Linked DNA regions of Alligator mississippiensis. The protein of the gene in region 1 binds, or shares a complex with, the protein of each later gene. Links are inferred from orthologs where the notes say so. Each region holds a gene or a part of one and is shown in the gene's direction. Other genes may lie near its edges. The genes, in order: SNW1, GPKOW, CWC27 and CRIPT.

What was found.
Region 2: SNW1 (region 1) and GPKOW share a complex: the UniProt entries of both Homo sapiens proteins name them as parts of the minor spliceosome. The link is inferred for Alligator mississippiensis from reciprocal best matches to the Homo sapiens genes SNW1 and GPKOW.
Region 3: SNW1 (region 1) and CWC27 share a complex: the UniProt entries of both Homo sapiens proteins name them as parts of the minor spliceosome. The link is inferred for Alligator mississippiensis from reciprocal best matches to the Homo sapiens genes SNW1 and CWC27.
Region 4: SNW1 (region 1) and CRIPT share a complex: the UniProt entries of both Homo sapiens proteins name them as parts of the minor spliceosome. The link is inferred for Alligator mississippiensis from reciprocal best matches to the Homo sapiens genes SNW1 and CRIPT.

What each region holds. Positions count from the first base shown.
Region 1 is NC_081825.1:263,412,869-263,421,037, reverse strand, and holds the start of SNW1 (SNW domain-containing protein 1), read left to right. Parts: upstream 1-4,958; 5' UTR 4,959-5,047; coding exon 5,048-5,061; exon of another isoform or gene 5,062-5,333; intron 5,334-5,535; exon of another isoform or gene 5,536-5,643; intron 5,644-6,116; coding exon 6,117-6,270; intron 6,271-8,076; coding exon 8,077-8,169. UniProt on the Homo sapiens protein: Involved in pre-mRNA splicing as component of the spliceosome. As a component of the minor spliceosome, involved in the splicing of U12-type introns in pre-mRNAs.
Region 2 is NC_081831.1:28,334,306-28,341,605, reverse strand, and holds the start of GPKOW (G-patch domain and KOW motifs-containing protein), read left to right. Parts: upstream 1-4,019; 5' UTR 4,020-4,047; coding exon 4,048-4,093; intron 4,094-4,195; exon of another isoform or gene 4,196-4,204; coding exon 4,205-4,451; intron 4,452-5,078; coding exon 5,079-5,224; intron 5,225-5,692; coding exon 5,693-5,832; intron 5,833-6,445; coding exon 6,446-6,552; intron 6,553-6,979; coding exon 6,980-7,169; intron 7,170-7,300. UniProt on the Homo sapiens protein: RNA-binding protein involved in pre-mRNA splicing. As a component of the minor spliceosome, involved in the splicing of U12-type introns in pre-mRNAs.
Region 3 is NC_081826.1:261,519,732-261,527,214, reverse strand, and holds the start of CWC27 (spliceosome-associated protein CWC27 homolog), read left to right. Parts: upstream 1-4,408; 5' UTR 4,409-4,490; coding exon 4,491-4,532; intron 4,533-7,483. Other genes in the region: protein SREK1IP1, read right to left, coding at 4,150-4,162. UniProt on the Homo sapiens protein: As part of the spliceosome, plays a role in pre-mRNA splicing. Probable inactive PPIase with no peptidyl-prolyl cis-trans isomerase activity. As a component of the minor spliceosome, involved in the splicing of U12-type introns in pre-mRNAs.
Region 4 is NC_081824.1:199,216,561-199,224,744, forward strand, and holds the start of CRIPT (cysteine-rich PDZ-binding protein), read left to right. Parts: upstream 1-4,901; 5' UTR 4,902-4,984; coding exon 4,985-5,000; intron 5,001-6,353; coding exon 6,354-6,419; intron 6,420-8,184. Other genes in the region: PIGF (phosphatidylinositol-glycan biosynthesis class F protein), read right to left, coding at 266-357, 1,981-2,208. UniProt on the Homo sapiens protein: As a component of the minor spliceosome, involved in the splicing of U12-type introns in pre-mRNAs. Involved in the cytoskeletal anchoring of DLG4 in excitatory synapses.

The sequences.
Region 1 (8,169 bases):
AAATGCTGTGCTTTGGCATGTTCTTTATCCTTTTAAAAAAATAAGATATAGTATAACTAAATTCAGTCTCAGAACACCACTTTGAAACAAAGTTGATACATTCCATTTTCAGAATGCTGAAGCAAAACATTTTGAAGTGTTTTTTGTTTTTCAGTCAAAACAATTTGCAAATTTAGTTTTGCTCAACCCAAAACTGCATCTTCCAATAAATAAGCTATTTGTGTAAAAAACATCCTAGGTTAGCAGGGTATTAATAGAGTTGTGGGGAAAGAGAAGCACAAGAGTAGAACAACAGTGGTTTAAAATGCATTAAAGCACATGGATTTGAGAAAGCTTGTGCCATCCCTGTTGCTATATGCTCAACTCTGCTCAGCGCCCTCTGTCTACAAACTTTAATTAGCCAGCCTCACACAAGCTCAAACTTGACTAAACTGCATTCAGTTTGTCACAGCTAAGGTTGTACTGAGCAATACAATTTCAGGCAGGGGAAATAAAGGATTCAGAAGAACTGAGTTCTTGCTGATAACAGGAAATTAAAAATCATCTGGAAACAAAAGCAGCTTCCTGACTGCAAAAAGAAAAGATGAAGCAGTTGCAGGAGCACTCAGTGAGAGCAAGGAAACCAATGAAGCATCTCCCAAGAGTCTGAGCTGAGTTGGATTGCTCAGTTACAATTTTACAGCTTAACACAATGATTTTGTACAGCAGCCTTCATACAAACTACATGTCAAAACACTTTACAGAGTTGTATAATATAGTTTGCCATACAGCATTAAATAATATAATACAACAAAGAAAAAATCCAACAGGCCAAAACAAGAGAGAAAATTTATGTTTTCAGCTGTGACGTATAAGAAAGCTGGAAAAAGAGAGACAAAAAGGGAGTTTCAGATGGTGAGAGCTGTAGAAAAAACTGCCCTGTTGTTTGTTACCAAAAGATGGAAGGAAATGAAAAGGAGAAGAGAGAGAGATGGGGCCTGGCAAAATGATTTGCTGTTTACTACAGATAAACAATGTATGAAAAAGTTTTGTATCTTTGGCTGAAGTGCCCAGAATAGAGTACAGACAGTCAGTCCTCCGACTTAACGACACAATGGATTCCTGAAAACCCGGGTCTTAAGTCGAAACGTTGTAACTTGATGCCAATTTTCTCATAAGAAACAATGTTATAAATTGGGGATTGGTTCCTGATACCCTATTTTCAGTCAAAAATACCCCAGAATTTTGTACTCAATCAATTATAGATGAGTAATATGTATATAATGTATTTATATTGTAAATAGGAAACATATTGATTTGGAAGGACGTCTTTGAGGTGACTTTGCTGGACTTTTTGAAAGGCTCTTGGTTGGACTCTTTGATACCCCTGGGCTACATAGTAAACCTTTCCAGGCATGGATTTTTTTATTACCTTGTATCTAAAACAATGCCTGACACAATGCAGCCCTGCTTTCTGCCATGCCTTAAGTACCAATATAATATAAGCAGTAGTAATAATTAATAAATAATTAATTTTGTTCTACTGACTTTATGGAGAACTGGACTCTTCCATCCCTACTCCCAGCACTACCTTATTTCATGATGAACTTCTTTTAGTAAAACTGGTCTACCTTCCACAGGCTAATAGAATTTACTGTTTTTTTTCTGGGGGGGTTTCCCATGAACAGTTTTCTTTATCTAAATCTCAAAAGATTCCTTCTCTTTCAGCCTCTTGGAAATTTGAATCACGGGAAAAAACCTCTGTGGAGGTATGTGAATGTATGCCCAGTACACACATACAGTGCAGCAGCTGGCATTTAAATTTAGTACAAAAGATTTTTTTTTTACTTTTAAGCCTAGTTAAGAACATTTTAAATGTGACAGAGTTTCATAATACTGATCATAATATTTACCACTTACATAGCACTTTTCATCACTCTCTCTATCATTCTCTCTCTAATGCATCTATCTGTGGTATCCAGGTACTAGATATCAAAATTAGCAAAGAGCTTCATTGCAGTCCTACTTGCACAATATATTCTGTCCCTCCCTGGGACACTTTGTCCTTCTGATAGGTAATTAAAAAGTAAAGTTGCATGGCTTGTTGGGAGCTTTTTATAAAAGAGGCCTGAGAAAATATCTGAATATTTTATCAAGCTCCCATCCTTCAGAATCTCCACCTGATGTAATTTTTAGGGATTATTCACATTTTCTGGAACATTTCTCCCAGCAGCAGCAGCTTGCAGATACCAGAAATATATCAAGGGGGCAGGAAACTATAATTTTGGCTCATTTTGTTGGTACTTCATGACACTAACCTGGTCTACACTATAGTTACATCAGCTATAGGGACACAGCGTTGAAAAGATTACAACCCCTACTTGACATAGTAATGCTAGCAAAACTGCTGCTATGGATGCCATTATGCAGGCAGAAAAGGGCTTTATTGGCTTAGCTTATGCTAGTTCAGGAGGTGGTACAAATATGCAGGGAGAAAAACCTTTGGGCTGATATATGCAGCATCTTCACTAAAGCAGTGATTCTCAGCCAGGTGCTGTGGTACCCTGGGGTGCTGCAACATGTTTCTAAGGACATTTTAACATGTATGCATCCTTCTGGAAGTGGCCTGGCATGACCTGTCTGTGCCTTGCATAGGGGTCTTGTGGAGCCACTCAAAGCATTCAAAGTCAGGAGAGGCTGGTTGAGCTGGCTTAGCCTGTACTGGGTGGTGTTGGTAGCCCCCAGTGCCTATGGAGAGAGAACTGGGGAGGATGAGCCAATGGAGAATGAGGTGCAGCTTCTCACAAGGAAGCAACAGTGGGAGAAACAGAAGCTGCAGATTAAGGGACAGGTACAGACATGTGGGGCTGCGGGGCCAGTCTGGGAGCAGGTGTGGAGCTGAAGCTTGGGGCTGTGTCCTAACTGAGGCACTGGGCAGTTTGCATAGGCTGTTTTCTACCTCTCTCACTCAGGCTAAGTGTATACTCACTGGCTCCCAGCATCCTAAATTGTCTCCAATAGCTAGACCCTACATCCAAGCTGCAGAAAAAGGGGCTTTCCTTGGGGTCTTGCAGAAAATGTCTCTCTTCCTGAATTGTTTGTGGGAGAGTCTGCTGCTGCCAGTGGTGACGTGTAGGGGGTGCACGGGGGTGTACATGCACCCCCTGAAAGCGCTGGGGCACCCCCTGACAGCAGCGTTCCCAGGCAGGGGGGCAAGCGAGAGCACTAGTGCCCCCCCTGAGAGCACTGGCTGGGGAATGTGCCAGGAGATGTGGTCCCCCCGTGGCTGATCCCACCAACCCGGAAGTGCCAGAGGCACGCCCGAAAGTGCCAGTGGTGCACTTTCAGGGTGTGGCAGGGTAGGGGTCTGCAAACCCTAGTCCCTATCCTGTAGTGAAAGCACTGTACCCATGTAATTATGGGGCTGGGACCCTGCAGTGGTCTCATTTTCTGACTTCTTGTGTTCCTACAACTTCTCCCACGTGCTTAAATTAAAACATTATAAATAATTTTTGTGAAGAGATCTCATCTAAGGTAAAGAAGCTTCAGAAAAAAAGTTCTAAACCTGTCACCACTTATAGGATTTTGAAAAGGGGCACCACTAAATTCAGAACTGCAGTGGGGTGCCTTGATCTAAAATGGTTGAGAGCCATTGCACTAGAGATGGGGGGCTCAGCCCATGGGCCAGATCTGGCTCCTGGTACCACATCATCTGGCCTGCAGGGCTCTCCATGGGTTTGGAGTGGGAGTGGTGGCACAGTTCCCTTGCTGCCAGATGTCTGGACCTGTGGGGAGCCCTGGGCCCTGCACTCCAACCAGTGTCCGTGGCCAGGCAGGGGCTGTGCCAGGCCTCAGGACCTGCTCCTGCTCCTGCTCCTGCTCCTTGGGGCAGGGAGGAGGTAGTGCCAGGCCCCAGGCAGGGGCCAGCTGAGGCCCTGTGGGGCCTAATGGCAGTGTGCAGGGCTTCTTCTGGCCTATAGACCAGCCCTATGCCTCTCTTCTGGCCAATGGGGTCAAAAAGCTTGAACATCACCACGCTAGAGGACCCTGCAAACACAGGTATGCCAGCCCTGCGCCAGTGCCACAGGCTGGCTCCGTACTGAAGATAGGGCCATGGTACCCACCACGGATCAGGTCCCAGAGCTCAGTGCTATGAGGGTGCCCAACAAGGTAATGTCACAGTGAAGGCACTGCTGCTTGGGGCCACGCAATGCTGCCATCTGTCATGAATGATGCGAAAATGCCATGATCACCATAGAGGTTTTCCCAGGGACAGAAGATAACCACTTTTCTGGCATGGGGTAGTACCTACAGAGGTAATATATACTCTCCCACTTCAATTTTCAGTGGGAAGATCTTAGCTTTATGCCCACTTGATGGAACTGGGAGACTCCTCCCTAGCTTGCTCCTGAAGCCATATGGCTGAGGGCAAGCAAAACCTGGGGGGATCTGAACCCCAAGCCTCTGGGCTTGGACCTGCACATAGGATGCCTGCCAAATAATTTGTAAACATCTGAAGCCCCAGGTGGGGTGGAGGATGTTTGCTGGTAGTAGGGCCACATATGGTTCTTGAATAAGTCATGGATTTGGAATGGATTTGTCTGATTTGGCCTGGAACATGAAAATGTTTCCTTAAAAAAAAGAAAAAAAGATCAACCTTTATTGGACCCCACTGTGGTGCACAAGAGAGGCTGGGCTGAGCCTGCAACTAGCAGACGCCCCTGAACAGCTCTGCAGCTCTGGTGCAGAACCCAGGCCCCATCCTGCACGTACTCCCCAGCCCCGCAGCTCTACAAGCCCAGCCCACAGTCCGGCGCCGAGCAAAGCAATAGCCTTTTACGCATGCGCAGTGGAACACTGGAGCCGCCTAGAGTCGTTAGCGGGACCAAGATTCGCGCCGAGGGAGCCTTCAGCCTGTGCGCCTGCGCACTGGATCATGTGACCGCCCTGCGTAATAGAGACAAGAGACTACAACTCCCAGCAGCCCTTTCGCGCCCGCGCCTGCTCGGTTTGGCACCCGGCTTCGCCGCACGGCCTGGAGCCTGGTGAAGAGAAAGGAGGAGACAAGATGGCGCTCACCAGGTCGGTGTGGTCGGCCGAGTGCGCCCCGGTGCGGGGTCGGGGCTCTCCCCCGCCCTCCTCGCCTGGCCTCAGCGCTCCTTGGCTGTGGGGGAGTGGGCTCCAGCCCCGGCGCTGCTCCAGGGGCCCCGGCCCGCAGCTGGGAGCGCCCGCTTCGGGGGCAAGCGTCACCCCCGGGGCCCGGCACCGTTGGGGGGCATGGCCGGCACTGGGCGTCCCGCCCTGGGGCGGGAGAGCCCCTTGCCGCCGCCCTGTCCTGCGCGAGGGCAGCCGCTCCCCTTTCTCTCCCCTCCCCCCCCCCCCGGCTTCCCCGAGCAGGGGGTGGCTGGTTGCTCGGCGGGAAGCGCCCCCCCCCCCTCCAGTCCCGGGAGCGGGCATACCCCGCTGCGCCCCGGGAGCTGCTCTCCAGGCTCCTCAGACCCTGGCAGGGTCAGAAGGGGCCTTATTACCAGGCAGGCAGGCAGCCTCCGCAGGCTTCCCCAGAGTTTGGGATCTTCTGCTTCTGTCCAGAAGGAAGAGGGCACTAGTGCTATGGAAGGGGGAAGCCCTCCTTGGGCCTAGTGCTTTGCACCACACATAATTAGGGTAGAAACAATTTTCTTATTTTTTTTTCATTAAGTCACTTAGGTATGGAAATGCTTGAAACTTGGATATTTTTCACCTTGTTGTCAAGAGCAGTGGAAAGCATACTTAGATGCAGACTTGTGTAGGGTTTTTCAAGTTCGTTATTGCCTTGCTAAAGAGAAGGTAGATATGGCTCCTGCCCTGGAGCCAGGGGGGTGGAAATGTGGATGATGGTTTTATCAAACCCCATAGAAATCTTTTGGCCTGGTGGGGAGAGACTGTGTTCTCTTCTCCGTTTAAATTCCAGAGTAGCTGCTGCATAACTGGAAAGTGAAATGCTCAAGTGTTGTACATTGCGTATGATCCAATACAGACCAGGGACAGATGAACAATTGTTTTGAATACCGTAGTAGCAGAATCAAGTACTGCATTCAATCTCAGGCATGGAGAGTGTGAAAATATAAGATTAAAATTCCTTCTCCCATTTTTTGCAGTTTTTTGCCAGCTCCAACTCAGCTGTCTCAGGACCAGCTAGAATTAGAAGAAAGAGCAAGAGCTCAGCGATCAAGACAAACAGCACTGGTTTCATCACGCAGAGAACCGCCTCCATATGGTTATCGGAAAGGATGGATACCACGAATGCTGGAGGTAAATATTTGAATTCATGCTCTAATGAAGTCTCTCCCCCTGAAAAATAAGTTTTGTTCCTCTCTTTTTGAAGCAGAGGTGAATTCTGAGCACTTGGATTATATCATGGAGGATTGTGTGAGCCTGGCTGTGTGGGAATTGGCTGTATATTCAACAGGCTAGGTGGAAGTGTGTTTTGTTTTTTCATTTGGTTTATAACAGCAAAAGCTCTGTTATGCAGCACCCATGGGGAATGGGGGGTGCTGGATAACCAAATATGCTGGTTACCTGAGAGGCATCTTTGCCTGGTCAGACTGGTGCCAGGCTTTCACTTGCTGGCATCAGTGTGCTGTGCTGGGGGACAAGAAGGGGGCCATGCCCCAAAATTGGTGAAGTGGACTTGGTGAAACTGGAAGTGGGACTTCCAGTTTCACTTTTGCAGTGTTGACCAGCATGCTGGTTAATAGAACATGCTAGTTAATAAAGTGCCGGATAACATGGCTTTTACTGTATTGCATACTTTAGAAACCTCTTAGTTACACTGTATAATGCATTCTTTATTGAACCCTCCCCAGTGGCTGGTGGGGGGTGTCGCACAGCCAAATGCAGTGTGGCAGCTGCTGCTTGCAAGCTTCCCCCTCCCCCCCTCAGATCTGGCTGGGCAGGTGGTGCTCCATTGCCACCTGCCCATGTGTACCCTCTAGGGCCTTCTCAAGTACCCTCAGGGGTACGCGTACTCCCGGTTGACAACCCCTGCACTAATATTTATAGCTCGCTTTTTCATAGCAAATTTACCTGTATAGTATTTCATTCACCCTTTGGGTTTTCACAAAATCTTCCATGTAGTTCATCAGTGTAATATAAAATATATTCCACTACAAATCAGCCCAAATGTTTAAAAATGACCATGGATAAAACTGGATGAAAGATGAAACTGGATGAAAACATTGAATGAATGATTGAAAACATTTCATGGATGAAAACACTGAAGCACCTCACTGGGAATGCTTCATGTTGCATTTGTCCTCCCTTACAAGATTGTTCTTAGCATGCTGGGACAACTAATACTACATGTGCTTTAACTGTTACTGACTTATGATACTGTTACTGACTCAGGATAGCCTAGCTCAAGATATCAATCTCATCAGTTTATTAAGTGCTTTAGCATTTGTGTATTATATGAAAGGGGGAATAATAAAAAGTATAGGGGTCTGTAATTCTAAACCAAGTGATAGTGCATGTCATGCTGGAGAAATCTGATAACTTGGAATTGGGCATTCTTACTGTGCCCACTATAAGCGTTGGCAGGAAATTTTAGTCATTTAGCAGCAGAATAAATTTGTCTTTTTGGGGAAAAAAAATTGCACTTTTTTTGTGTGTTAAGTGGTAAATACAGATCCTCAACAGAAAGCCTGTGAATCTTGTGCCTTTCATAGGTCCACAAATGCTTTTTATTATAGTGGTAAAGATCACAAATGTTAAATACTGATTCGCATATGAATCCCTCTCCAATTTATTATTTGTATCACTGGTATGATAATGGATGCATATTCCAGTCAGGACAATAGACCCCTGTTTAGTATAACAGATAATTATAGATATTTCTCTGAGGGAGATAAATGCATATTAGTGGCTTCTATTTAAAAAAACAAAACAATCTAAATTCTGCTACCTACCCAAACAGTATGCTGTGGTGCAGGGTAACTCGGACATTGACAATGTGCTGGAAACCAAGGCAGTTCCTGCTTCCACTTTATACTGGAAAACACTGACAAAGTTATCCCACATGCTTTATTCACTATACACTTCTGTTTCTTTCCTGTGTAGGATTTTGGAGATGGAGGGGCTTTTCCAGAAATCCACGTGGCCCAGTACCCATTGGATATGGGCCGAAAGAAGAAAATGTCCAATGCTTTGGCA
Region 2 (7,300 bases), on another chromosome or scaffold:
CAAACCCCCCATTCCCCTTCCCTGATCCCTGCCCATTCCATGTCCCCCCTCCTCCATCAATATCCCCACTCCCTCTAGTACCTGGGGTTGTAGGGGGTGGGAACCCCCAATCTTAGACCTCACATCAGTATCAGGCCCATTCAAGTCACTGGTGGAGGAGCCTGTGGTGGGGAGGGAAGAATAAGGTGGTGTGTGGGTGTTTGTGTGCACACCCCATCATGGGTGTGTGTGCATGTGTGTACCCCAACATGCTCCTTTCCCACCTTCATACCACGCCCAGCATGCTGGGGGTGCCTGCCCCACCCTGTCAGGAACCCCTCCCCAAAACCCCAGTCCCACCCTCACTCAATATCTGCTCCCTCCAGGCCCCTAGAAATAATTACATGTCCAGCCCCATAGCAAAGCTTAGGTACAGGCAACCATGGTAGTGTTCAGAGGGGCAGGAGCTATTAGGCCCTGAGTGGCTGCAAGTCCCTCCCAAAACCAAGCCAAACAGACTGACCTTGGCTGAAGGGACCCAGGGGCAGACAGGTGGTGCCAGGCAGCAGCTGATAACAGCTAGGGGTGAGGAGTTAACCCCTTAGGCACCAGACAACCCCTGCTCTCACTCACCAGTGCGGGGGCAGGGCCTGGTTGCCACACCAGTGCCCCCTGGGGGATGAGGCCTGCAGAGGGTACTGAGCAGGATGTCCTGGGGTTCAGGCCCCACAAAGCTGGTCACAGCAAGTTCCTCAGCACCCCCTGAGCCCAGGCAGTGGGGGCCAGCAGCTGACCATGGGGGCAGGTTCCTGGGGCCTGGGGGAGAAAGTAGGGGTTAGTGGAGTAAGGGACCCTCAGAGATACCTCTACAGCCATCTTGCCCCTCTCCTGCTCTAGGGCCTGTCCCTGCCCAGGTTTAACTCCACTCCTTGCCCCTCCCCTACAGCCTTAGCCCCACCCCACAGTCCTCCCACACCCACATGACCCTCTCCCACCCCCTACCCCAATACCCTCGCCCTCTTAGCCCTACTCCCATGCATTTCCCTTAGTTTTAACTCCTCCATCAAACCCCATGCCCTGGCCCCAGGCTTAGTCCCTTCCCCACCCCACTGCCCCTCCCCCAACCTTAGCCTCCCCCGTGCCCCTCCTCCAGCCTTAGCTCTTCCTCTAACCAAATACCCTTCCCCTTACTTTAGTCCCTCCCCATCCTTCATCACCCAATGCCCCATCCCTTAATCTTAAACTCTCCCCCAACCCTTAGCCCCCTGAATCTCCTCCCTCACCCCAATTCCCTGCCACTAGCTTTAGACCCATCCCTATGCCCTGCTCACAGCCCTCGCACTCCTCACCCCTTATCCCTATGCCCCCGCACCTATTACCCTCCCTCATTGCCCCCAGCTCCTGACCTGGGCACTGAACGAACAGCAGGCCACTGCCAGTCTCATTTGCCTTGCCCAGCAGGGGGCAGCACTGGGGGTCCCAGATCTGTCCCCCCTGAGTGCCCCCTGCCCTGATGCCAGTGACCCCTGGGGAGTGGTGGGGCAGGGGCACAGGCAGGTGCCAACCCCCTCCCCCACCTCCTTGCTTGTGGTCCTGCCCCCCAGGCAGGGGTGGGGGCAGCAGGCTAATAGGGAAGGTGAGTGGAGCACCCCTTGGTGGCTGTATTGCAGTACCCAGCTCCCGTCCACCACCACCACCACATTCACTGCAGGGTGGAGAGCCAGGTGTTAATGAGACATGGCTGCCAACACCCCCCCCCCGCCCCCAGTTTCCCTGGGGGGAGAACCATGGCCCTGTACAGCATTCCCAAGTGACCTGGGAAGTATATTTAGTCCCACACGCCCCCAAGCTGTAGCTGGAACTGCCTGAAGAGGGAAATGTAGCCCTAAATAGTGCACCCTGATGCCCCAGAGGGGAGATACAGCCCTACATAGCACCCCGCCTAAGTGGCCTGGAAGGGGAGATACAACCCTATATTGTACCCTTGAATGCCACAGTGGGGGAGATGCAACACTGCACAGTATCCCCTAGTGGCCTGGAGGCAAAATGCAGCTCTGAACATTGGAGGGGGTGGGGGAAGAATCTGGCCATGTACAGCATCCTCCAGTGGCCTGGAGGGGGATATACAGGCCTATACAGCACTCCCTACTTCAGCAGATCCCAAACTGTGAGTTGTGATCCCAAATAGGGTCGCAACATTAGTAGATGGGGTTGCAGCGTGGCATTCTCTCCCAGGTCCTGTCTGCCGGGCTGCAGAGGCCTGGGGGAAAGGCAGCAGGGCAGCGAGCCCCAAGCCCACAGCCCACATCCTCCCACCCCCATGGGCTCTACTCTGGCTGTACCACCTGTGGGGTCAGGGACAGGGGTGGAGGGCAGGGAGCCGGGCTTCATGCTCTGGCCTTAGCAGCTGCTGCTTCCTTCAGGTGGTAGACAGAACTCAGGCACTGCTAAGGTGAGGGCCCTGTCCCTGGGGCACCTGGGGAGAGTGGGGGGCTGCAGATGGGGAATGAGGAGCACCAGCAAAGCCAGGGAGCTGTGGGTCAGGATTGAGGGGCACCCAAGGGGGGGGTGTGCTGTGAGTTGAGAGTGAGGGGCCATGATGAGGAAATGGGGTCATGCTGAGGAAATGTTTGGGAAGCACTGCCCTAGTGGCTTAGAAGAGAAGATATAGCCCCACACAGCTTCCCCCATGGCCTGGATAAAGAGATCTATGGTAACCCCTAATGGCCTGGGGAGAAAATACAGCTCCATACGGCATCCCCTAGTAGCTTAAAGAGGGAGATACAGCTCTGCATGTCACCTCCTAGTGATCTGGAGGGGGACTATAGTCCCAGAGTGTCATCCATTGCTCCAGGTTATCAGAGCCCCACATGATGCCCCCTGCTGCCACTCCTGGTCCCCTACACTTACCTCCTGTAGTTGTGATCGACCCTGCCATGGGAACTCTGACCTCTGGGGGGCTCCACGGGGTGCTGCAGCTGTGGGGAAGGGGTAGATAAAAATTCTCCTCCCTCCCAATCTGCAGCCCCGCACATCAGCTCTATGGTGCCTCCCATTCCTGTCCTGGAACCTCTGCACCATAGCCCTGGGGTGCCCATCACTCCTGCCCTGTGACACCTGCCCCTCAGTGACTCACCTGATTCCATAGGCCTCACCCCTCTCTGAGCCCCAGTTATGGGGCTGAGGTCTGGGACCCCCCATGGTGCAATTGGGGGCCTTCTGTTAGAGCCCCAAGATGAGTGTTGGGTGGGGGAGTCTTCTTGGGAGTCCCTGTAGGCCTTTAGAGTGGAAGGAGAAAAAAAAGTGTTCAGATACAGCCAGATCTGGGGTGAAGAGCATAAGCAAGCCGCATTTTACCCCCTACAGCCCTGCCCCCAGCTCTGGTGAGGCCACCCTCCCCACAGTGCTCCTCACTCCTGACCCACAGCCCCTTCCATCACTCCCAATTTGCAGTCCCCCAACTTTGACAATCCAAGTCCAACCAGCAGGTTATCCTATCCCATCTGCCATAGGCCAGTGGTGGTGGTGGGGGGAGGGGGGGGGAAGCCTTGGGATCAGCCCTGTGCAAAAGCCCTCCATCTCCATCCCCTGCTGGGTACCCAGGCTGCAGGCAGTGGGGTGGGGGGGGTTGCCAAGGCAACAGGGCCGCTGCCCAGGTAACCGTCCTCTTGCCCCCTGTGGCTAGGCTGCTAGGGAGGGTGGAGTTTTTTGGAGGGATGGATACTTAGGTGGCAGGGCAGCTAATCCGTGCTCATCCCAAAATGAAAGGAAGTGAGGGGCGGGGGGTGGTCTGGTGACTAAACAAAATGGGTCTGGGAGCTAGGACACCTGGTTTCTCTCCCTAGCCCTCTCCCAGCTCCCCCTCCCCAAAGCTGGAGGGGTGGGGGAGCAGTTATCAGGGCAGTTGGGACCTGTAGGCTACTCCAGTGCATGCTGGTAACTCTAGCCTGGAGCCCCAATGCATGCTGTCTATGTATTACGTCAAAGATCCCACCGCATGATGGGAGATTCAGGCAACCCTTCCTGTCTCTTCGAAATGCCTGTTAGTAGAGGGGGACTCCAACTCCCATGATTCCGTGTACCGCAAACCCCAGGCGAGGCAATGATGGCCGCGGTGAGTCGGCTGTACCGCTCTCATGATACTTTTCGGTGGCGTTTCCGGGCGCGACTAGAGGGCCGTGGCTCTGAGAGGACTACAATTCCCATGAAACCTTACTGCGTCCAGTTAGGGCCAGCTCCGAGGATGAGACTACGACTCCCATGATGTCCTGCGGCAGCGACTGCGGGTGCGGCAAGATGGCGGCGCCAGCGGCTGGTGGAGCGGGACCAGTGTCGTTCGGGTTTACACGCACCGCCGCTGGGCGGAGGCGGCTGCCCGGTCCCGAGTCGGGACCCTGCGCGGAGCCTGACGCCACCGAACACGTGCCGGAACCAGACTTCGTGCGCGCTATGGAGGACCGGGAGCTCCAGAGGTATCCCTGGGGGCGGGGTAGAGAAGCGGAATGGCGCATGCGCGAGCTGTATTGACCATGAACACAGGAGGAAGGAGAAGAGGCTGGGTGTCTTTGGACGCATGCTTAATGTGGAAGCTTAGGTTGCCCCAAGTGCTTGCCTCGCAGAGGGGTTACATCAGAACGCGTGCACCGAGGAAAAAGTCGGTGTGCACTGGGCATCTGAGCCATGGTGCGTACAGTGCATGCCTGCAGAGGGGAAAGGGCGTGTACACTTAGGGCAGGGGGCGGGGTAAGGAAGAGGGGCAGGCTGGAGGCGTGGGTTGGGGAAGGGGCGTGGCCCCAGAGAGCAGGGGTTGGAATTAAGATAAGGGGCTGGTCAGTAGATGAGGGGGTCGGCCTCTGTGGGGTTATAGGGTTTTGGGGCATGGTCATCTGGGGAGGTTGTGGGGCATTGAGGTGTGGCTACTGGGGAGGGGATCTTGATGGAGGGGGCAGGGCCTAGGAAGTGCAAAGGAGCATGGTTAAATCCCTTCTCCGCCTCTTGAAGGCTCAGATCAAGTGTAGTGGAGGTGGGGGCATGTGCAGAGAAAGGGCTGGGGCCTCAGGCTGTGAGGGGTGGGGCATCAGAAAGCTGTCTCCCCACAGTGTCTGCCTGGCCCCACGGCCCCCCTCAGCACTTGTCATTCCCCTGATCCGGACGAACCAGTGGAAGCGGCCAGCGGGCGAGGCTTCTCCAGACCCTGTTGGCGGGGACAGGGTTGAGGGTCAGGCCATTCGGGAGATCATTGAGGGTGAGTGGGCATCGGGAACCCAGGTGTCTGGGCTTGCCATCATTCCCAGCCTGATGCTTGAGCAGAGAGAGAACCCACACGTACAGTCTCCCCACCCCTTCATGCTTTTTCTTATTCTGTATTTGTTCATTCTAATTACCAGAAATGGGGGAGAACCCAGGTGTCCAGGGTGCTAGATGTGGCCCCTTCCCCTTCCCGCTTCCCCCCAAAAAGTGCTAATTTTGTCAACTAAAGGCTCCCCTTGCATTGGCCCACTCAAAAGCAGAACCCAAATGTCCAGACTCCCCACCACCCCAGATGCCCTGCCAGAGCTGGGGGAGAACTCATGTGTCCAGGTTCCCAGCCCCCACTCCTCCCAGAGAACCCAGATACCTGGGTTCCCAGTCTTCCCTGCTCTAAATGCCTAGCTCCATCTCCCTCCCAAAGAATCCATGCATCTAGCTCTGATACTTCCCCTGTACCTTGCAGAGTCACAGCGGGTGCTGGAAGTTTGGGAGGCTGGTGCTGAGGCTTCCCTGGCTCGAACCATTCCCATGCTAGTCCAGAACAGGGTACTTAGTGGCTACGAGGACAGCGACCATGTGGACGTCAGTCTGCGCCCTGAGTCGGTAAGGGAATCTCCAGGTTCAGCTCTGTATTTCCCCCACCCACCTCCTGCCCCCAGCTGGCCCATGCAGGGGCAGAACCCAGGTATCCCAGCTCATGAACTCCCAGTTCCCACTCCCAATCTAAAGAACCCAGGTGTCAGGGCTCTGAGGTCCCCCGGCTGTAACCCCATCCAGCCATTACTCCACTTCTAGAGAACCCAGGTGTTTGGCTCTGATCCCTTCCTGCCCCCCAGCTCAGCTGGCCCAATATCCCCCCTCTCTGCCCCTGGTGCCAGGTGACCCACGCAGGGGCAGAATCCACATGTCTAGGTTTCTGACACTGCTCCCTGCTCTAACTCCACTTCCAGAGAACCCAGGTGTCCAGGCTCCTAGACTCTCCCTGACTACCCTCCCTGGCTCCCACTTCCCTCTCAGAGAACCCAGGTGTCCAACTCTGACCTCTCCCTTTCCCCCTCCCTCAGGCCCAGCTGGCCTTGCATCCCTCACACTCCTTGCCTCCAGCTGCCTCATGCAGGGGGAGAGCTCGCACTTCTGGGCCCCAGCTCCCAGAGAACTCCCTCCTCCCCACAGAATCCCCACCCCAGTGGGCTGATGTATCCCTTTTGCCCCCTAGGCCACAGAGGCAGATTATGAAGAGGTGCCAGTGGAGGCCTATGGTCTGGCCATGCTGCGGGGGATGGGTTGGAAGGAGGGCGAGGGCATCGGCCATACCTTCAAGCAGTGAGTGACCCTGGGGGCAAAGGTCGTGGCAGTTGGGAAGGTCAAGGGTCAGAGGGGAGGGAGCAGGGCAACGAGGGGTACAGCATGGTGTTGGAGGGTTGTGGGTACAATCAGAGATCAAGGTGGGATATGGTAGAGAGGATTGTGAGTATGGTCAGAGGCTGCCCTGTGACATCAAAGGTCAAACTGGGGGATGCCAGAGAGAATTTTGGGTACAACCACTTTCCGAGGTCCAGAAGTGACCCTGGGGAGAAGGTCAGGAAGGGACGATGTGTAGAATCTTCTTTCTGCTTCTGGGGTTGAAGTTCAGGGGAACTGTCTGGGTGGGATCAGAAGTCATAGTGTGGGGGAGGAGTGCACAGGGGTCAGTACCATGGGATGCACTAGGGGTGCCATGTAATCCCTTCTTGTCCCATCCTTCCCCCAGGGCTGTGAAGCCACTAGAACATGAGTTGCGTCCCAAGGGACTGGGCCTGGGGGCTGCCCAGGCCCCCCTGCCTTTCTCTCCACTGGGCATAGAGCCCCCTGAGGAGGGGAATGGGGAGGAGTCCCTGGGGCTGGCAGCAAGGGGCAGCGTTCTCGTCCAGGCTGGCCCTCATCGGGGCCTGTATGGCAAGGTGAGTGTCCACCCAGATGCTGTGTTCTACCCCAGGACAGAACCCAGGTGGGGTTGACTGGGACCTGAGTTCTGTCCTGTCTTTGGGGGAAGAGTAAGTGGGGCTGGGCACCTGGATGTCTGGGTTCCATC
Region 3 (7,483 bases), on another chromosome or scaffold:
GTGCTGTAATTTACAGCAGTTTTTATACAGCTATAAAGTTATAGCCATAGGTGCTGAGAATGTACAGGCCTGAGGGCCCTGGCTACCCTCAGGAAGAGGGCTGTCGGGGCCCAAACCTGAAGATTACATAATGCTTCTCCTTTAAAGGAGAAAAACATGAGAACAGGGTTTATCTTTGTAGGGTGCAAGGAGCTGCTTGGGGCAGGGGGGGGCAGGGAGGGCTATAGGTGGAAGGGGGTGACACAAGCACATGATAGCTAAGCAGTGGTGAAGAGCAGCTTCCTCCAGGTAAGTCTATGGGGGCGAGTGATGAGGGGGCACAGGTGACATGTTGGGAAGGGTGGAGGCGCACAGGCGATGCAGTACAGAGGGGCAAGGGGACCAGAGTGATGTGGCAGGGAAGAGGGGGAGCACAGGCAATGTGGAGGAGAGGGGCAGGGGAGCACAGGCAATGCATCAGGGGAGCGAGGGAACACAGGCAATGTGGTAGAGAGGAGTCGGGGGATGGGGAAGGTGACACAGCGGGGGGCATGTGACTCCCAAGATTTCTGCACCCACAGCAGGACATGGGGCACAGGGCTGCAGCCAGGGTGGACCAGCTCCAGGTAGGAGCTGCCTCTGTGGCCCAGCAGGCAGGACCCAGCGCAGGACAGAGCACCATGGCCACCAAGGTGAGGTGTGGAAGTGGCATGGAATTGTGCTCCTGCTGCTGCTGGAGCCAGAGGGTGTCTTACCTTGGAGGCCAGGGCAGTGTGGTGCTCCCTCCTGTACTGGGTCCTGCCCACTGAGCCCCTGAAGCGGATCCTGCCCAAGGCTGGTCTGGCCAGGCTGCAGCCCCATACCCTGCTTTGCGCACAGGAATCTGGTGGGAGGCACATGGTCCCTCCCACCCCCTCACACATTACCTGTGCCCACAACCCCCCTTTCCCACATACCTGCCCCATTCCTCACATACTGGGGGCTGGCACACATCCATCATCTTGGCCACCCCCTACCCTAGGCAAAAATGAAAGTTGGCGCCTATGGTTACAGTGTTCTTAAACTTGACAGAAGTGCATGGTTTGGAGAGGAAGCGGGGAAAGGTCTCTGAATCTCACTGCACTTTCCAGGTTATGGGGGCAGGGGGCACTCTGTAGCCTCCTCAGTCTTCTCTACTGGTCAAAAATTTGACCAGTATACAGAATTTTTTTAAAACACTGTAAAGCTAAAATGCTGTAAAATACAGTGCTTCAAATGTAATAACTCATTTAACAAGGGGTAATTTAAAGTGATGTATCCATTTTTAAAGTACTGTAAATCCATACACTTCTATTAAGTCATGGCCAGGCATCCTGGTTTTCTGTTTAAAAGCTGCAGACTCTCTGATCAAAAAAAACCCCAAATCCATGTTTTTCCGTGGTTAAAATTAAACACCACTCACACTCTCTCTCTATATATATATATAGGTGAGAGAGAGAGAGAGAGAGAGAGAATCAGTTGAACACAATGTTTTACATTTACAATGTAAAAGCAATTTGGAAGCCTACCAGTGCCTCAATCACTATAATAAATAAATTCTAAATACCTATAAATTTTGGCACTTGATTTTGGGTTTTTTTATCATGGAAAAATCAGAGCTCCCCCTGCCTCCTTTGCTCACCAGGATGCAAGTCCAGCTGTGGCTGTTCCCCACACTGCTTTGAGGCGTGGAGCTGCACTGACATGCCAGTGTCCTGCCCATGCCATTGCCCCTCCCTCCCAAGCCACAGTCGCACCAACCCTGCCGGTGTCACTCACTCCCAACCTACAGCCCCCTGCCTGCACCCAGTCCTGCCAGAGGGGGTCCCCGGCTGCTAGGGCTACAGGGACAGGAACCCGGATCTGCAGTTACCTTCCCTCCCCCAGCAGCACCCAAGCCCCAGCTGCCACCTGTGGAGCACAGCTGGAGTGGAGCCTGTGGTGGGGGCAGATGCAGGATGCCTGCTGTAGGCTTGGGGCTCTCTGCCCTGCTGCCCTTCCCCCACGGTCCAGCAGGTGGGACCCCACACAGCAAGGCAGAGTGGGGTGGGGAGGCTTGGTGTCACAGCTGGGAGCCTCGCATTGCCATGATGAGGTGCCTCCTGTCCCAGCCCCCCAGATGCAGCACCAAGCCTCCCTGCCCTACTCTGCCGCGCCAGGTCCCACCTGCTGAGACGCAGAGGCCACAGGGGAAGGGCAGCAAGAAGCCCACATCCACTTCTGCCCTGCGCACAAATCTGGAGGACATGTGGGCAGCAGTGGAAAGCCAGGCCCCTTGCTGCCCGCCAAATGAACCGCCTGCAGCTCCATCCCACTCTCTGCCCAAACTCTGTGCCCACACATTTCGGTCCCAGGCCCCATCCTAGCTGGGCAGCAACTCCAGCCCCACTCCTTCCTCCCTCACTAGGGGAGCCTCAATCCCTCCCTCCTTCCACCCAGGCTTATCCCCCTGTCATGGCAATAAAGCGCTTTAAGTGGTGAAAAAAAATAACTTTTATACACACCCCTTGGTTCCATTCCAGCAGGTAGCCCATGCATAGAGCTTTATAATTGTCCTGCTGCTTTGAGCTAACACACCTTGTCCACTAGCTCACACAGACATATAACCCAGTCTTCTGGGATTCAAACCCTGCAAACAATTCAATTCAGGGTGCTGTCATGTTAGATATGGCCACTAGAAAAAGGAATATATAAGGCCAGCAAAGCCCAAACCAATTATAAAAGGCTGCTGAAAGTTTAAATTTTCTGTATGAGTTTTTACTGAACTCGGGATTACTCTGCATCGTGATTGTGGCCAATACTTCCACTCAGCAGCAATTTCACTGATGGCAGAACGAGCTTGATTTGTTATGAAGCAATAAACTCCTCTTCCTTGTTGTGGTGGAGAGGCTTGCGTGCCCTGATGATCCTGAGAATGATGCTGTCTGGACAGCCTTTTTGGTAGGGTATCCTATGGCATTAAGGTCAAAGGTGAGGTTTCAGACAAATAGCGACCCAACCCCAATAACTAGGGCAGGTGGAACTCTTTACCCCTGGTCTGGGAACCTACCTAGGAGAAGGATACTCCAAAACTAAACCTACAGCCTGGAGATCTCTCTACAGCTGTCCTAGTTCACCAGGCACATGAGTTTCAGGCCTAAAGAGCGGGGCCAGTCAGTACAAACTGTACTCCACTTTAAAGCTCCACACACAGGCAGGAAGAAAACAAGTCGCCCAATAAACTAGCATGGAAACATTTTTAAAACCACAGCATATCCCTTACAAAGCCCTGCTTGGCAATTAAAACTTCTTTCCTTGACGGGTGGGGTATTCTGTAGATCTGGGAAAATTTGCTTTCTGAAAGTGACTTACAGTTCACTTTGTGAATGTTTTTGATGCTGTTGCCTGACTGCTTAACTGAGCTGAAACATCACCAGAAAATAATCTAGAGTGCATACTACGCCCGTTGGTCATCTAGTCCAACCCCTGCCTGACAGGCAGGATCCTCCCTACCCAAACCATCCTGTACAAACCCACATCTAAACTGTGCATGCACAAGCCTGAGCTCAACCCTGACACACCACGGCCCTCACACCCTCACCTACCCCAGGCAGAGCAGGGGACGCAGCAACCCATGTCTGGCTGCTGTACAAGGGGGTCAGCGTACGCTCAGGAGACCCTGGGAGAGGGCCAGGCCGGGCAGAGGAAGGCAATGCCCCACTTCGGGTTGCCAACTTTGTTTGAATCTATTCCAGGAGGTTTCCTCACGTGATGTAGTGACATTAATGATCAGTCTACTGTACTGCACTCAGGAAGGCAAATGCATATTACTATTACATTAAAAAAAAAAAAACCCCATGGGCCTAAACTGGATGCAACATTTAATGTTTATTTTAAAGAACGCCCTATTACTTGTCTCCCGGGTGACTCTCAGCAGTCTCCTGGAGATTGTATCCAATTCCTGGAGGCTCCCGGGCGATCCTGGAGGGTTGGCAACCCTACGCCCCACAGGTGGGGACAACTCCCCGCACCCTGCGCGGAGGGGGAGTCCCCGCATCCAGGAGCCTGGGCTGCGACCTGGCCCCGGTTGCGGGCAGGGCGCTCCCAGCCCGGCCGGGGGACTAGGACACGGGGAAGGGGCCGCCACCCGCTGCCCACAAACAAGGTGCCCACCTGGCAGCGCCATCCTCCTCCTCCGCCTGCTCGGGCCGCGTTGTTCCGGGCCGGGGCTGAGCGCGACGCGCCGTGGGCCGCACCACTCGCCCAGGCGGGGGGGGGGGAAAGGGAGGCGCGGGGGCGGCCCGAGGGGAGCAGCTGCGAGGCCTAGGAGTGCGAGATGGGGGTAGCGCGCCGCCCTACCCAGGCGGCCTGCGACCCCATCACAACCGCATTATCCCCCGCGCCCCCCGCCCCCCGCAGCTGAGTGGTACGGCCCAACATGGCGGGCGACGCGCGGAGCTAGGCGGGCCCGTGGGGGAAGGGGCGCGGCGCGGCCGGATCGCGGCGGGGGCAGCATGAGTAACATCTACATCCAGGAGCCGCCTACGCACGGCAAGGTGCGGCCGGGGCCGGGGCCGGGGCCGGGGCCGGGGGCGAAGAGCAGCGGGGAATGGCCGTGTCGTTCTTCTCGAGGGCGGCTGCGCCACTCTGGGGAAACGAGGAGCCGGGGCCGGATCCGTCCCGTGGGCGCTGTCGTCCGGGATACCCGGTCCCTGCTTCCACATCCCCGTGCGGGCCCAGTCCTGCGGTGTGCTGGGCCGGGGCCGGGGCACAGGGCTGGTCCCAGGCTGGGGTGAGGCCTGGGCCCGGCTACTCCGCGTGGGACCGACGGGGTGGGCGGCTCTGTTTGAAGCTGAGGTTTCATCACGTGATGCAGTGCATTAATGACTGCTCTGCTGTACCGCGCTCAGGAAGGCAAATGTACCATTGCATTTTAAAAACTCACTGGACTACTGTATACATTAGATTCACCATTTAATATTTATTTTAATGAATGCTGTATTATTTATCTCCCAGGTGACTCTTAGCAGTCTCCTGGAGATGTATATCTGACTCCTGGAGACTGCAGGGCAATCCCGGAGGGTTGGCCACTCTAGGGTCCGAACGTGGGAGGCCAGAAGGTGGGTGCCTTGCACGGAGATGGGCAGTGGCTAGCACAGGATATGCAGTCACATGAGATGCTGCGAACCATCTGTCAGGTCATCAGCCCTGGGGCATGCATACCCCTAGGGGTACTTAGAGAGGTCATAGAGGATACTCACGGGCAGGCAAGGACGGAGCGCGCCCCAGGGCACAGCAGGGGCATCCCCTCCAGCGCGCTCCCACATGTTCCCTCTTACCTGAGGGACCGGGTGGCCCCACGCACACTGCAGCACCTCACCCCAGCGCAGTCTCCTGATTGGCTGCTACCCTCAGCCAATAGCTGATGGCAGGAAAGTGCTGCGGACACCTCCTGCCTGCAGAGCTGCAAGGCACAAAGGGCCTGAATGGCGGGGGTGTGGGGAAGTGTGTTTCTGTGCCTGCTCCCAGGGGCAGGGCTGGGGCGGGAGGGCGAGGGCAGCAGCGCCTCTGATGATGGATGTGCGCAGGGCTGTCCTTTGGGTAGGGCAAATCAGGGGCGACCGCCCCAGGCCTCATGCTTGGGGGGGGCCCCGCAGAGCTGGGCAGAATGGCCACAGCCCCTCCCATGGGGCCCGCCTGGAGCTGGCAGCTCAGCCCCACGCCGCAGAAGAAGTATCTAGCTGCTTGCCACCCCGCTATCCTCCCGCAGCACGTCACCAGCTTTGCATCTGCTGAAGAGCGGCTTGTCGGGGCACATGAGATCTGCTTGGCCCCTGGGCACCAAATTTCATTGCCTTTGTGGGGGTCCCATGACCCCATGCCATGTTAAAGGGGCCCCACACAGGCTGATTTGCCCTGGGCCCTGCATCCCCTAGGGTTGGCTCGATGTGGGGCGGGGGCACTTGCATGCGGTGGCCACCACCCCATGCCGCCACCTCCCAGGAGCAGGTCCAGAGAGGGCAAGGGCAGCAGTGCACATCTGCGGGCCGCACAGGTGCAGCCTGGCTGGCCGGACGCAGGGGATGGGGGAGCTCACACACCACTGCCACCCACCACCACACGCCACTGCTATGCGCAGCTTTTCTATGGATGTGTGGCTCCATGGGGTGCTGACAGGCGGTGCACGATTGGCCGGGCGCAAGGCCTATCAGCAGCCCTCAGAGCCACATGTCCGACTGGCTGTGGGAGAGCGGGGCACAGTGGCAACACGGGGTGGTGGGTAGTGGCAGCAGCCTCCACATGCGAGCCCAGCCCTCCCCCGCCCCATTTCTAGCCGCTGCCACCAGAAGGGGTGCACTAGTTAAAAAAGTTTGAAAAAAACCTCAGATCTATGTCATAGGCTGCAATATCTACCATCTGTCATAGACGGAAAGATGCCAAAAGAAAAGAAGTAGAGGATGTTGATAAAAAGCATGGATTTGCAACATTTTGCCATTACAAGCTTCTGCTGGCAACCCAGCTCTCTGCTGTGACCCACAAATCTGTGTTTGCTGGTGATCAGCAGGTGCTACGGAGGGAATATGGAACAGGGCAGGGGTTACAAGCCTGTGGATGCCTCCACTGCTGCCGTAGCACAAGTGTAATGTCAGTGCCCTGAGCCATAGGTTGCCAACCCCTTGTATAATGAGATAAAATGATGCACACAAGTGTCACATGCCAAGTCACCAATGATAAATTCTTATCACATGCTTTAATTCAGAGCTATATCTTGTGTATCAGCACCACTTTGAGGGGAGAAAAGTCGACAGCCAGTATGTTATGGCTGCTGTTGCTGCTGCAAATCCAAACCGATCTTCCACTTCTGCCTCTGCATTTCTCAGATTGGAGAAGGAAAATATTTTTTCATTCAAACTATGGTGTGATTTGATCAGAGACTTCATCTGCAAATGTTCAGTTGCAGTATATTTTGCATGTTAAAAATACATGTACTTGTTCTGAGGTCCTGTTTAGAGTCTTGGATTTAAGGTAAAAGAGGAAAACAGCAAGGAGGATGGTCCTGGTGGGTATCTACAATAGCTAAGGTATATGTCCTGTTTTGGCCAGGACAGTCCCCAATTTCATGGGCTGTCCCTGCCAGTTGCCTAAAATAGAAGCAGAAGTCTAGGATTAGAGGCAGCACCCTGCCTACACATACCTGGTGCTGTTCCTCCTGAGCAGTTTCTGGAGGCTGCAGGGGTGCGCTGAGCATGGTATCTGACCTGACCCTCCTGCCTAGTGTGGGGATGGGCTGAGGTGAGGCGGGGGCTCAGGAACAGCACCAGGGAAGGGGGCTGGGGCTCAGGAACATGTATAAGGTAAACCGGCATGGCCACCAGCAGCCTCATGTTCTGCTGCTGCCAAGGTCTGGGCTTCATGTGGCGGCCCCAGGTGGCTGACAGTGGCTGGGGGAAGGCGCTGTGTGGCTACATAGCGCAAGCTGGCAGAGCTTGAGGGGCACCACACAGGA
Region 4 (8,184 bases), on another chromosome or scaffold:
TTCTGAAATGGGTGCTGATACTCAAAAGAACTCTAACTTGTACCTTAAGTTTGTGCCTAAATGGTAATCATTAAGGGACTTGTAGCTGCACCTTAATTCCATGTCTAAGCTTGCAAAAGAGGCACTGATCATACATGGGCTGTAGTCTTCTCTCTCCAGAGGCCAGACAGTCCCAAGTGTCTGGTAACAAAAGCTGTTATACCAGCATTTGTAAGGAGAGATAGATCTTAATGGTCTTCAGTGAAGATATGGTTTTCAGACTTACTCTATTAATGGTGCTCCGTAAAGGACAATAATTCCATGAAACACGATGCAGGACATGAAGAAGTATATGCAGCATTTTAGAAATCTAGATATCTGAAAAAAGGAAAAAATAATTTAATAAAATATCAGGGTAATCATCTATATTAAATTCTACAAATACATAACTAATTAACTACATAATCATTTGGTTGAAACTAGATATTTAATATGCAAGAGGTCCTGATTATTTTAAAGTAATAACTTAAAAAAATAAACCCTTCTTGGTTTGAAATTGTTTTGTCTACTGCACTCTTATAACAAGTAGTACATCCAATGATTGCAATGACTACAACTGTAAAGGTAAATGAGGAAAAAAGTCTGTTTCTCAGCTTGGTTCCTCTGCACATTTAACATTATTTATTAGAATCGTTCACATAGCATAAAGGGGGAGGGCAGGATCAATATAGAAAAATGCACTAGTTCAGTCAATCAGTGCTTTACCAGACATTCTGTGCACAAAAGTATTGCCTTCAAATGTCTGGCTTGTCCAAGACTGAAAAGCATTAAATTTTCAATGAACTAGTCCTTTGGCTCAGCTACAGAGGCAGGGAAGACTGAAAAAAAAGTCTTTGAGCTACTTTTCTGCTCCCCTGCCCTGGTTTGGTTGGGTTCTGGATTGTGTTCCACTCCCAGTACCACAAACTACAATATGCAATGCCTTCTTTAAAATGAAGATGTTGGTGGGTACTGATGTGTTTGTTCAAATGACACTAAAACTGTGTCCAGACGAGCATGGCCATGCGGTATGTGGTGCCGCAGACTGCACATTCAGTTGCTCTCCACGCTACAAGGGAGCAGCACAGATGGTTTTTTTGACCCCTGGATATCTGAATATATCCACGGAGAAAAAAAATACAGCAGTGTACTCACAAGCAGCACTCACCACTCAAAAATGGAGCCAGGCAAGCCAGAGCCACACTGCGGATGCCAGCCAAGCTCCATGCAGCAAAATTGCCACTGCTGGAGCCCCAGGAGGCCCCTAGGACCCCAGATAAGGTTGCCTGGGCCAGCCCAGTGCTGGCCCCAGCCTCCCCTACCACCCCTGGGGTAACTTGCTGAAGCATGCATAACATGCACATTCCCCGGGGACAATTAGCAGCAGCACAAGGTGTCCCACTGCTAGTTGTCCCTGGGGAAACAAACATCCATACACGTGTGGATGCAGCCTAACTGTCCATTTTAACCGTATTGAACATTCAAGTTTGCTTAACGTTACCTTTATTCAATAATTTGTGAAGCTCTTTTAAAAATGATTCAATGCTCTTTTCTACCTTAGATTATTGATACCTATTGACAACTTTTAGCTGTGGAGAGATACGTTCATAATGCTGGCTTCAGCCCTGACTCTACAATGAGCTCCAGGCATGCAGTCTTCTGTACCCACACTGACTTTTCTCAGAGTGAAGTCTGTTGGAGGTTCAAAGAAAGTCTTAAATACTTTCAGAAGACAGACTAAGAAGTACTGTATATCTGAATGCTTTTAGGTGTGAGAGAAAGTTTAGCATCTGTGAAAACTAAAAACCCATTTCAGAAGGTACTACACTTAGCCAGAACTTCACTAACACTTGAATTTATTTTGCTCTTTCATTTTCCCACTTGGTTCCTTCAGTACAAAAAGTCAGTTCTTCAGTTCTCCCTAAATGCCCTTAGTGTTAACTTAACTGTATAAAGTCTTACCTTGTGAGCAAATGAACTTCTCTTAGAAGATGGATTTGGTTTTACTATTATATATAAAAATATATTTACAGTAGTGACACAAGCAGAACAAATACACAACCAGGTAAGGTGTGTTCCCAAAACTGAGAAGTTCTCCAAGAAGAAAGATGGAACGACAGTTGACAGAATAATGGAAACCACACAGAAAATGTGGGCAAAGAGGAGTTTCTTTATTTCTGTATCTTTCATTATGTTATTTGTTGAATATTCACCCTATAAAAAACAAATTTTAGTTAGTTATTGAAAAATAAGTGGTACTAGAAGACACTATTTTTCCTAGTTAAAATATGTAGTAAAACACACTGTGGTCTGCTGTTAATTAGCAAACTCAGTTTAGGGGCAATCCAGATGTTCCCCTGTAAAGAAAGTTTTGGAGGGTCATGAATTCATGTGGGTGATATCTTTTATGGAACCAACTGTATAGTTGGGAGTCATACAGAAAGGCTTTTGGGCATGAAGTACTCTTCCTCACAGACCTGTTATACTTGAAAATTTTTCTGTATGGCCCAATAAATGTCACCCACAAAAATTCTTGCCCCTCACATTTTTCCTTGACCTTGATGGCTACACCACCACCCCAACTCTACCCCAAAAAAGTTTTGTAAATCAAAAGCCAGCAGCCAAACACCTAGTGATTTAAAAGCTTGTTTTAATACTGAACATTTACATGGACTGCCTGGTGTTCTTCCAATGCAGGTACCTTTGATTTTGAGACTAATGGCAGGTCAGCAGTAAAAATACTTTGGGAAGTTTCACATACAGGCTAAATTGCATATTGAGGGCTTATTTGGCAACCAGGAAACTTCCCAATATGTGAGATGAACAGTTAATCCCTCTGTTAGACTATTTCAACTGCTGACAAGCCCTGAACCTCAGGAGTTTCTGTTAATTTCAACACTGCTATTAGCAGGTAAGGTACTTTAAGTAACAATATAACTAGCATTATTGAGGTGTGAAAAGCTGACAGCAGGCTTATCCCACAAGAATTAGCAACAGCCTTTAAATCAGCTTAAAAAGTACCTTTAATATTGAAATCAATGGAAGCTGTCAAATGGCTGCCTACCTTATCTGCCCATGTGGCAAGTAGTTTATACTGTATACAGCAATCATATGCGGAACTTGAAAACCTAACATGGTGATGTTTTGCTTCCTGTGGGCTCTCACAGAAAGAAAATGTCTAGAAGCAAAACGGAGCTGTTTTGTTCTCTACACAAACCAAACTCACCCCCTGACCTCAGGCCACAGTAATACTGAAACATAAGTGTTAGTGATTATATCCATCTTCACAGGCTGCACTAGTATGAAATGGAGGAAATGGAAAAAACTTGTAATATTTCTCACTGCAGAGATTCTCTGCTGCTTTCTAACTCTACAACAGACATTTATAGCATGCAGTAATATCTGGTTCTGGGGGCAGGGTGTTCAGTTTTAACTATTACCATTTCCCACTCCACTCTACACAGATCAAAAGAAATCAAGAGGCTCCAAAAGTGATGCTCAATGCTTTGGCAACACAGGCCAGAGGAATGGCACAGAGCCTGTCCATGTATTAGCTCACACCCTGGGTGCCAGGACTGGGCCCTAGGGCCCCATGCCACCCCCACCCAGCCCCGTATACCCACATCAGGCCTCGCACCCGTGACCGAATGCACGCAAATCTGCAGGGAGTCCCACGGGCCAGATGACACAGTGCTGGGGACCAGATCTGGCCTGCAGGCCAGATGCTGAGCAGTCAGGGACTATGGCATTAGCCCACCTGCCCTTGTGAGGAACCCTGGCAATCCCAATTTCAGTGGGCAGAACAACTGCAGGGCTGCAAGGTGCACTTTGGGGGCCTGAGTGGGGGAGGAATCTGCTCTGAACGCCATAAACACTGCTGTGGTTGAAAACAGGAGGGAGCCCCCAGAGCTTCCCCAACATCCCTCTGGTGACAGAGTGCTGGTGTGGGGCTGGCAGCACAGATGTGCACCCTCGCCAGGCCATGGCCTACCAGTGCAAGGAAGTGGCTGATGTGTACGTGTAAGTGTATGCATAGGTACAGGAGCATGTGCAAGTATGCATACACGTGCAGGTGTGTGTGTATGCATGTGTGTGCAAATGTGTGCGTGCATACATGTATGCATACAGGTATGTGTATGCAACCATGGGCACGAGTGCAGGAGTTAGTGCATGTGTAGGCATACATGTATGTGCAAGTGTGTGCATGTGTATACATAGGCAGGCTATGTTCTTTGAATAGATGTGATCTCTTTTATTAGACCAACAGAGCGGTTGGAAAAATGTTTTTGGCAAGCTTTGGGGTGCAATCACCCTTCTTCAGGAAAGGAGAGTCTCTGCTGATCAGAGACTCCCCATATATATGTATACACCCACGTATGTGTAGGTGCACATGTGTGTAAGCGTACATGTGCATATATGCAGTGTGTGGGTATGCATGTGTGTGTCTGTTCAAGTGTGCAGTGTGTGCAGGTGCATGTATGTGTAAGTATGTGTGGGTGTATATGTACATGTATACAATCTGCGTGTGCATACTGGCACATGTACATGCATGCAAGTGAGGGTGCGGCCGGCAGGTGTGTGTGAGTATACATGTGTGCTTCCGTGCCTACGCACAGGCTAGGCCAGGTCTGCATCACCACGACACTCTTGTCACAGGCAGGGTGCGTGAAGACGAGTTGCAGAGGGGGGAGGGGGGGGATCCCGGCCGTTGCCCGCCCCACCCCCCGCTCTCACCTGCGTCTCCCCCGCGCCGCCGCTCCTCGAGCCCGAGGTCAAAGGTCACCAGCCACCGCCCCCTCACCCGTACACAGCGCACAGGCGGCGATCCGTGAACAGGCGCCGGCCGGTGATGGACGGCTTGCGGCGGCCAATCCGCGCGAGGGCCGGGTCGGGCCGGGGGCGGGACAGGAAGTGCGCGCCGGGAAGTGCAGCTGTCAGTGTTTACCTCCCCGCCGCCGCCATCACTATGGTCTGCGAGAAGTGTGAGTGCACAGGGCCCTGCCTCCCTGTCCCGCGGGGCCGATCCCCATCCCCCGGGGGGGAGGGGCCGGGGCAACGCTGGCTGCCATCGGCAGCACTCACCCACCCCTAACCCCCTTCTTCCGGGCTGCATTCGGCCTCGGGAGCCCGGCTCCGCCCCCTCGCAGCCCCCGGACCGGGATTGCCCCCCCCTAGGGCTACCATATTTCCAGGTCCAAAAAGAGGACACCTGTCACGGGTGGGGAGTGACCTGCCCCTGCCCCTGCCAGACAAAGCTAACCCCCTGAAGCCCTGCTGCTTCCCCTCCCCTCACTCTGGACCCACTGACCCCCGCCCTGCCAGTGCCCTTCACTCCCACCCCCCAGTCCCCTGCTCCCTCCCAGTCCTGGTGGTGACCCTCACTCCATGACCCCCACAGTGCTGCCAGTGTCCCTCACTGTGGACCTGTAGCCTCTGCCCCCCCAGCTCTGCTGGTGCCCCTCACTCTTGACCTGCAGACCCCTGCCTCCCCTGCCCTGCTGCCCAAGCAGCTCCTGCATTGCGAGCATGCCCGTGTGCTCTCTCGCTCTTTCTGGTTACACCTGGCTTGTTGAAGCTGGTGTGGGGAGCATGTGGCCCCTGACAGCCAATCGCCTTGCCCAGCTTGGAGCAGCCAGCCCTGGAAAGGAGAAAAACTGGACATTTGCTATTATTTTAAAAACCTGCCCGGATGCAGCATAGGAGTCAAAAAAGAGGACATATCCAGGAAAACCCAGAGATATGGGAACTCTAGTACCTGGAGCCTGGTCCCAACCCTTCGTATCTCCCTTAGGCCAGAATTGGCCCCTGGGAGCCTGGCTCCACCCCCACCCCTGGCTGGGATTGCGCCTTGGGAACTTGCCTTCCTCCATCTCCACTGAGATTGGGCTGCCAGGAGCCTGGCCCCGACACCCTCGTAGCCTCTCTGGCCAGGATTGGGCCCTGGGGGTGGGCACTGCCCTGCCTGGCTCTGCAGACTGTGGTGGGGCCCAGTCCAGTGCAGGGCCTGGGGCTCCCCACAGGCCTGGGAGTTTGGCCATAGGGGAGCAGTGCCACAGCCCCCCACCACCCTATTTCCAGACCTGTGGGGAGCCCACGGGCCGATGGCATGACACCGTGGGCTGGGGGTTGAGCTCCCGTGTTACAGTGCACGCCCCTTCACAGAGGGGCCCCAACAGGGACAAGCCTGAGCCTGCAGCTGTATCTGCTTATCCCTTCCCACCTCGGGGTACTTGGGGGTACCCTGCTTGGGGCTTGTGGCTTTAGTAGAAACCTTCTTTTTGGCATTTTCACTTACATCTCCTTGCTTTTTCCTCTTCTGTCTTTTTGTGCCATAGGTGAGAAGAAACTGGGCACTGTGATTACCCCTGACACGTGGAAGGATGGGGCTAGAAACACTACAGGTACTCTTTTTACTTTATTTGTTTATTTGAAGTATTTTTAAGCATTTACTTAGAGAAATCGTAGTATTCATTACTCAGTAAGCATTGAACCAGTTAGGTAATTAAAAGGCTCTGTGAAGCATCTTACAGCTCTGACAGCATGAAGCAGCTGGCCTGTTCCTTTTCTTCACTTTAACGTACTGCAGCTTCTTTTTCATTTTCTGTGGGAAATGTCACAATTCTGACTTCTCGGTACTGCATTCCTCCAGCCATGATTTGTTCCAGTGTGAAGTAATGATACTTATCATGTGTATTGACGTATGTGTGTACTGGAGAAGTGCATAATTCACCTAATGGAATAATACAGTGCCAGTCTCAGTTTTACACTGCAACAAATGTCAGTCAGCCTCTTGGCTAATCATATAAATTATGCCTGCCTAGGAACCTTTTTGGCCTGGTGTCTTTGTAATATACTCTGTTTAACTGCATAAGAATCGGTGACATTAACTAGCAGCAAAACTGACTAGCAGCTCAATTGTCAGGCTTTTAAGAGCAACCCAGAAACTAGCTTGGTCCTGTCAGGTTGAAGACTCTTGTTAGAGACATAAGGGCTCTGAGTAGCAAAGTAAAGAGACTTAATGAAGTGCAAGCTTCTCAGTGCAAGGCATTTTGTCTGAATTTATTAACTAATTCATCTTATATAGTGCCTTTAGTATTGAAATCAGTAGGCTTATACTGTACTTTGCACACGAGTTATTGTCTTCTGTAGCTGTTGGGTGTTTTTTAGGTTAAATTCAGATGAGTGAAAACTTATACTTTTTAGTGCCAAGGTATGTACTTTCATGGACTACGTTGCTTAAACAGAACATAAAGTCCTTTTGTTGCCTCACATTTTAGTCCTAATATGTATACAATATTCAGTTTCTACCTGCCAGCTTTGCTTTTAATTGCGTATTCTAAGACTTGGCTTTGAATTTGCTGTTCTTTGAGCTGACTAGTTAGTCTGCATACATTTGGTTATTCTTGGCCATTTATAGGCCTTTGGCTTGTATGTTGCCTCATGCCATCACATATTTAGTAGTTAAAAAAATCCATATCCTAAACAAACAAATACTAGCTTTAAAATAGGATGATGAAGTATAATTCAATATTTACACTCCTATGAGAGAAAGGAGGGGGTACTAGTAGTTCAGGCACAGGACTTTAGATGGGAAACTACTAGGAACTTCCATTTCTAGCTGTGCCCCCGACTTCTATATAACATAGGATAAATAACTAAAGCTTCAGCTATGCAGTGACCATTATGTAGGTGAAGTAGACTGGTCACCTTGAGTTTGTTTTATGATTTGGGCTTCTCACTGAATTTTTTTAACAAATAAGAAAAAGAATGAGGCATGCATTTTATCCTCAAATGCCAGATTATAAAAAACTATATCAAATTGTAACTAGACATGAGAACTTAAAATGTGAATATAGAGACCAAATTAATGCTTTGTTATGAAAGTTTCTGTAAATATGTAAAATATTTGAGTGTATACATCTGCAAAGTTAGGTTTTAATGAACTAAGAGCAAAGTGATCAAATTTAAGTTAATCAAGATAGTAACTATATTACATGCCCCCATGGATAACTTTACAGATTGCTTATAATATATTGCTTCTATGTTTTGTGCGTACTGTATAAAGGTAGTATGACTGATCTCTTAGACATAAGAAGCATAACATGTGGGGACGTGGTCAGGAAGGCCAACCATACCTTGTCATGCATCCACAGATGCATCTCAAGC